Zea mays: one gene and its partner. The main gene of each other region encodes a partner of the protein of the gene in region 2 in a complex. Links are inferred from orthologs where the notes say so. Each region holds a gene or a part of one and is shown on either strand. Other genes may lie near its edges.

Evidence for each region.
Region 1: DNA-directed RNA polymerase V subunit 1 (region 2) and DNA-directed RNA polymerase V subunit 7 share a complex: the UniProt entries of both Arabidopsis thaliana proteins name them as parts of the RNA polymerase V complex. The link is inferred for Zea mays from reciprocal best matches to the Arabidopsis thaliana genes NRPD1B and NRPE7.

The regions. Positions count from the first base shown.
Region 1 is NC_050101.1:136,913,107-136,917,114, forward strand, and holds DNA-directed RNA polymerase V subunit 7, read right to left. Parts: upstream 2,811-4,008; 5' UTR 2,648-2,810; exon of another isoform or gene 2,527-2,647; intron 2,157-2,526; exon of another isoform or gene 2,126-2,156; coding exon of another isoform or gene 2,046-2,125; intron 1,113-2,045; coding exon of another isoform or gene 1,100-1,112; coding exon 572-1,099; 3' UTR 319-571; downstream 1-318. UniProt on the Arabidopsis thaliana protein: DNA-dependent RNA polymerase catalyzes the transcription of DNA into RNA using the four ribonucleoside triphosphates as substrates.
Region 2 is NC_050099.1:245,977,322-245,980,380, forward strand, and holds the end of DNA-directed RNA polymerase V subunit 1, read left to right. Parts: coding exon 1-1,185; intron 1,186-1,364; coding exon 1,365-1,473; intron 1,474-1,597; coding exon 1,598-2,104; 3' UTR 2,105-2,553; downstream 2,554-3,059. Other genes in the region: uncharacterized protein LOC100279602, read left to right, coding at 2,932-3,059. UniProt on the Arabidopsis thaliana protein: DNA-dependent RNA polymerase catalyzes the transcription of DNA into RNA using the four ribonucleoside triphosphates as substrates.

The sequences.
Region 1 (4,008 bases), on a different chromosome or scaffold from region 2:
GCCGAGATGCCTGGATGTGATGTTGTAATAAAGATGGTTGGCCTGATGAAGAACATGCACTAGTTTCTAGCTATTTGAAACATGTTGAACGAGGCAATTCTAATGTAATAATAATAGACAAAGTGCCTTATGAAGGACATGGTTGACATGCCTTTGTTGCTGTATGAGTGATGTTTATAGTTTTGAGGGTTTGAAGATGTGGATCATTTGCCTATTATTCTTCCGCTGTGCTGTATGAGCGATGTTTATCAATATGCAATGCAAATAAAGAAACACTACAGATGCAAATTCAACCACTCACCAGATCAGGGAACACCATGTAACGTTAACTTCCAAGCAAGCATAGAAAAGGTACATCCATGACAACGCTTGTTCATCATACAGGTACACTGATACGTTCAAACCAGAGCTAAATATCACTGGCAACAGCATCTAGAAAACCTACCATGTCTCAGGTTCTACAAGACCAAACCACTGGTAGCAAAGTTTAATTCTACACATCAGATCCAACCATCCATCCACCATCTAACGAGCAATGTACATTAGAACCTGTTTGACCTGTGGAAGCAGTTCACAGCGGCCCAAGGAAGTCACCAGCGATCGTAGCAAGGAGCTGGAATTGGCGGTCAGCCTCCATCCAGCGGAACCCTAGGACCTTGAAGCGCACGGCGGTGTCCTTCTCCAGCTTCGAGTGGTCGTTCATGAACATCGCATTCTCCCCACCTATGTACTTGTAATTACTCATCGACTTCTCAGCCAGGAAGATGCTCTCCACGGGTCCGGATTTGAGGAACACGCCATGCTTGAGGATCCTGTCCACGTGCCCAACCATGACCTCTCCCTTCATAGGCTTCTGTGTAATGCAAGTAAATGAAACTGGGAACAGAACATCTCCAGTTAGCTCACGCACTTTCCCTTCAGATATTGCCTTCAGCTGATTAACAGCAATGTAGTAGCCATGCTCTTTCGAAGCCCTCCTGTTTGTGACATCCTCCAGAAGACGCACAATGATAGCCTTGCGGAGCAGGAGGCCCTTGCGGTCCAGCTGGCTAGGTGAGATCAACACATTCCATGACATCTCTGCCTCAAGAAAAACCATGGCTGAATACCTGCTAAAAAGATACAAGATATCTACCTTTTAGGAGATTGGTAAAATTAAGCTGGAACAAAACGACATGCTTATTTAGATCATTTCAGGTAAAATTGGGGTAAACCATTCTTTCATAGAAGACGTACAATTGCGAATGAAGTATTGTCATGCAGTAAACTTGAATAATATAAAACAAAACTATGTTGGGAGGCGACATTAACTAAAATTTGAATGTCAAGACATAATTATGTAGCATGACTTCCGTTATGATTATAGGAAATATCAAAAGGTTGGAGGATGTTTGCACAGTCGCACATTTACTGTTGGTTGAGGACTCATCCCCTTCATCATCACAAGAATTTAGTGGCAGATGTAGCCATGTAGGGAAAGGATAGCTTTTAATATGATACAGTTTTCTTTTCTAGGCATATATAGAGGACTTCTCTTACTAAAAGCTTACAGAAACTACTGGAATCAAAACAATGCTGGAACCTAGGCTTATAGTCTGATACAGCTCTCCTCTCTAGATTTATGTAGAGGACCCCTCTTATTAACAACTTACAGATTACAGAAGCTACTAGAATCAAAACAACGCTGGAACCTAGCCATTATATAATCTAACATCAATTATCTACTAACAATTGTTGTTTCCCCACAGCCCACCCTATACTGTGTCCCAGAGAAGTTCTCATGAAAAATTAGTCAAAATAAAGTTCTTTCGAGTGGGGTTATAAGAAGGTATGGTTCATATGTTACACTTTCCTCATTTCAAACAGATTTCACAGAACTGTATAGGCTATTCCCTGCGGACTTCCTATGCGACCTCCTATTTCAAACTATACTCTGTAAAACAGTAGTGCAAATCAGTGTTTTGCACGACCATATGCATGGTCTGCGGAGAGCAAACAGTGTTTTGCACGACCATATGCATGGTCTGCGGAGAGGATGAACCCACTGCAAAACTATGTGGTGGCAGCAAGGAGTACGGATATGAACCCACTGCAGTTCTGAGGACATAACACCTAAAGGCCCCATCCACCAGCTCTGGGGACGTGCCCACTGCAGCAATAACTGGAGTACAAACAATTGTATTCTATTAGTGTAGTATAGTTGATCTATCCCAGCATAATACCGGAGAGGATGAGAAGTAATGGAACAACCGAACAAATTAATACGGAAAAAAAACATGGGTACGATATCATTTCTAGTTTCCAATTGTAGTTGCACGAGAAGAATGCTAGACCTGATTTCTTTATTTACGGATTTTTCCTTTTCACTGCAACCAAACCCAAAGTAAAAAATCAGACAGACCAACAAAGACCCTCGTGCTAGTCTCTCTCGATTACTAACTGACTCTGCCTATATGACGCCAACCCAACAACAGATCATTAAGTGCGCAGAGCAGGGGCGAACACAGTAAAGGAACATGGGTGTACCTTTTTCTTTTGCCAAAATGTTCGTAGTAGGCATCAAATAGCCAATAGCCAAATAGTTAGGGTTTGGGTGTTTGGCGCTGGGACTCGCAAAGCAGGAAGGGAAGAGAAGGCATGGGAGTACCTGGTGAGTGCTTGCCGACGAAAATGCCGACGAAGGCCTCGGCGCCTGGCGTAGCCGCGTAGGGCGGCGGCGGCGGCGGTCAAACCAGAGATGGAGACGTGCTGTGGGTTCGCTATCCACCTTGTGGAAGTGCCGCGTCGCGTGGGGTGCTTGGGTGCCTGACGAGCGGGCCAGGGGCGGGGTCCAGCTGAAGGTGAAAGAGAAGGCCCAGCAGCGAAGCGGTTCGGGCCAGCAAATGGGGACTTGGGAAGAAGCCATTTGGGTCGGGCCGGACTGGAAGGAGAAGCAAGGGCCCGCGGAAAAGGGGGAAAAACAGTACGGGCTACATTCGTCCCGGTGAACAGGGAAGCTGGAAAAGGCTTTTCCTTTTGTTTAAAGAGAGGTGCAACCGAACTTATTAATCTCTACTAACTATTAAGACACTACTGTAGACTGTCCCCGCCTCCCTACGCCCGCCCACCCGCGCGCCCGCCACGATCCGTCCGCCTGCATGCCGCGATCCGCGCCCGCCACGATCCGCCCGCCTGCATGCCGCGATCCGCCCGCCCGCGTGATCCCCGCCGCGAACGCCGCAATCCCCGCCCGCCCGCTGCTATCCCCGCCCGCCCGCCATATTCAAAGGGCCCCAACGCCCACCTCACGCGAACGACTTCACCCGCCGTGGGGACGCCACCGCCGCCATGGCCGCCCACTCCGACACTGTGGCCACGCTGGCAGCCGACGACGCCGCGGACGTCGACGCCACCGACACCGACGGCGACGTGTCGGAGCCCGACCTGAATGGCCCGCGCATCCACCCCGTCCTATCGCTGTCGCTGCTGAACCAGCTTTCGTCGCTGCTGCCGTGCGCCTGGTGGTTCCTAAAACTGAACGAGGGATGCCTCAGCACGTGCGGGCCGGCCTCGTTCTCGTTCGTGTCGCCCTCGTCGTCCGCTTCGGCCGCGTCGGAGGTTTCGAACCGGAGGACGAAGACAGCGGCGGTCGCGTCCGGGCAGAAGAGCCAGCCGTGGAGGTCCCATGTGACCCGGACACGGCGGCCGATCGGGAGGTCCAGCCTCTCGCTGCCGTGGAACTTCCACCGGAGCCCGAGCTTGCCGCGCTCCTGGATGTCAGCTCCAGAGCCGGGGATGCGGACAAGGTGTATGAGTATATGCATAAGCTGAGATGGAGTATTTCCTTTTTTCCTGGCTAATTGGCTAAAACACTGAGCACAATTTTTCAGGGGGTGCAGTGGGAAAAAGTTACAGAAGAAATCAGCAAAAGTGGAGGAAAACGGTGACAACTTTCAAAGCTCTGTAAATAGTCTATAGCCTGCCTAACTGAAGGTGAAACAAAGCCTATCCTCTAGCTACCATGTTGTA
Region 2 (3,059 bases):
TGCTAGTGTTGCGAATGATTCTGGTGACTGGGGAGGCTGGAGTAGTGGAGGTGGAGCTGCTGCAAAGCCAGCAGATCAAGATAATTCATGGGAAGTGCATGCTAAGGTGCAGGACAATTCCACCACTGATTGGGGAGGCTGGAGCGTTGAGAAGCCAACAGGTGAGGCAACTGTATCTGGAGAACCAGCTGAAACAGATACTTGGGCTGATAAGGGTGCTAAAATGGAATCAGATGCAGGTGATGGTAATTGGGAAAAGTCCAGCACTCCTGAGGCATCAAAGAAAAATGACTCATCAGAAAATACATGGGACAAAAGAAAAGGAGATGGAGGTGATGGTGCGTGGGGGAACAGGTCTGATGATGGCCATGGCAATTGGGAGCATCCCAGCAATTGGAATGGGCAGAGTTTGGATGTAGATCAGGACACATGGGGAAACGCCAGGGGAAAAAAGAAGGCAGATGGTAACTACTGTCAATGGGAGGAGCAGCCAAGCAATTACAAACAGAAGAAGACAAATGCTGATCATGATTCCTCCTATAACAATGTGATGCCGTCATCAGAAATTGCTTGGAATGCTGGAGATGGAACTGGAAGACCAAATGCCAAGTCTAATGCAGAATCCAGTTGGGGTGAGGAAGATAAGATGGAGTCTGACGATCATCCGAAAGTCCCAAAAGAATCAGACACATGGAATACAGGGAGATCAAATGAAAGTCCATGGGATAACACTGATGCACTGCAGGATTCCTGGGTTAAGAGCGCAGCTCGCAATAACAACACTCAGGATGGTTCATGGGATAAAGTAGTATCTATGAAGGATCTTGATTCACTCCAAGATTCATGGAGTAAGGCGACAATCCAGACGAATGATGCACAGAATGATTCTTGGGACAATGTGGCAAAAAATGCCCCGGATTCTGCCGCAGAAGACTCCTGGGGGGCTGCAACACCAGCGGAGACAACTGATTCTGGTAACAAGGAGTGGAAATCAGATGGATGGGGGGCAAAGTCTGGTAACTGGAGCAGCCAAAGAAATAATCCTGGGAGACCCCCAAGGAGACCAGATGAGAGGGGTCCACCTCCACCAAGACAACGGTTCGAACTAACAGTTGCGGAGAAGAACATTCTTCTAGAAGTTGAACCTATTAAATTACGTGTGAGAAGCATCTTCCGTGAAGCATGGTAAATGAACTCACAATAGCTTGCTGATTTTTTGTGGTGCTGCATAGTACCTGTAGTTTTTTTTAATTAAGCAATGAAAAGCGTGACTGATGTTTTACATGAAAGCATACAGTATGCATGACAGCTATATTGTTTTATGCAGTGATAATTTTAATTTTATTCTGTCTTAAATTTCTCAGTGACGGTGTTAGACTTAATCCAGAAGACGAGAAGTTTATCCTGGAGAAAGTTCTTGAGCACCACCCGGAAAAGCAATCCAAGGTGTCTGGTGAAATCGACTACCTAACGGTACGGTTTTACATTTCGCCTTTGGGTTCTGCATTTCGTCACCTGAGCACATCCATCAAGGATTCCATGGTGAAAACAAGTCTTATCTTGGACCGTTGGTCTGTAATCGCCTTGCTTTTGACAGGTCAACAAGCACCAGACTTTCCAGGACACTCGGTGCTTTTTCGTGGTCTCCACAGATGGATCCCAGGCAGATTTCTCCTACCTGAAGTGCCTGGAGAACTTTGTGAGGAAGAGCTACACGGAGGACGCCGACACATTCTGCATGAAGTACTTAAGGCCCCGTCGCAGGCAGGCACCACCAGCTGATGTTGGGACAGCATCAGGCGCCCCGGATGAGGTTCCACCGTCAACCGCAGCTGAGACAGAGCAAGGCACTCCTCCAGCCCCTCAGGCAGAGGTTCCACAAGAGACTTGGGGTTCTCCCGCAGTGCCTCTGGAAGGAGGAACTCACATCGCCGGACCAGACTCAACAGGCGACGCTGTGATCCTAGGGGAGCAGCACGATCTGACTCCGGCTTCTCCAGCTGTGGCACCACAAGTGGCTTCTGAGCCAGACACAACCGACGGCACGGGGCTTCTAGGAAAGGCTCCGCAAGCTGACTGGGGACCCAGATTCGACGCTGACTGATATTTAGGCTGTGTGAAGCTGCCGCATGTAAAAGCCAGACCTGTGCTCTGAGCAAGGGAGCATTCCCTTGCTAAGTCGTCAGTTAACTCCCCTTGACTTCATCTGGAGAGGTGGACAGGTAGTAGCGGCAAACATTCTAGCCCTTAGCGGCCGCTTGCTCGTCCTCGTCCGTTTCGTCTCGCCCTGATGGGAACCATGTAAATCCTTGGGAACAAAGCTACCCCCTGCTGCCTTTACCGTATCTAGTTGGACCTTCCCCACTGTTGGAATCTGTGAGTCCGTCTGCTGTTAAATTTTTGATGGTTTCTGGGCTGTGGCTTGCCAGCGGTGATGCCAAACTCTGGAAACCTAGGGATTTGTTTGGTGCGGTCGTTTGGTTGTCAGGTCGATCAGCAAATGTATGCCTTTGTCCTCCAGATATGTGCTTGTTGAGCTAGTAGATAGTGTTACATTGCGTGCCTTTGTTCAATGGAAGCCCAGTTTGAGATGGAGCACGTGTTCGAAAATACTCGGTATCACTTATGAGCGTAAATGCGAAATAAACAAGGGTAAAAAACATACGACAGCAAGTATTTAGGTGAAACATGTTTCTAGTCCTCCGATCCTCATCTAATAGCCCAGAAGCGCTTGCACGGCCACCGGCGGCCCAACCGCGCCGCTTGGGCCGCCAAACGAAAGCCGTTTTTGTCTCGACACTAGAGTGTCTCTGACTCACCTCCAAGTCTCAGTGCGCTCTGCCTCGCCACTTCGCCAGTCGTCACTCGTCACCACCGTCCCGCCCCCGCGCCGTCCCACCCTTGCTCCCACTCGTTGCGCCGCGCCGCGCGATGCAGGCCCGCGTCGTCGTCTTCCCCGTCAAGGGCCGCGCCTGGTGCTTCGCCCTCCCGCGCGCCTCCGCCGCAGCGCCCGCTGCTGATGGCGCCCTCCCGCGCCCGACCCTGAGGGACCTCTGGCG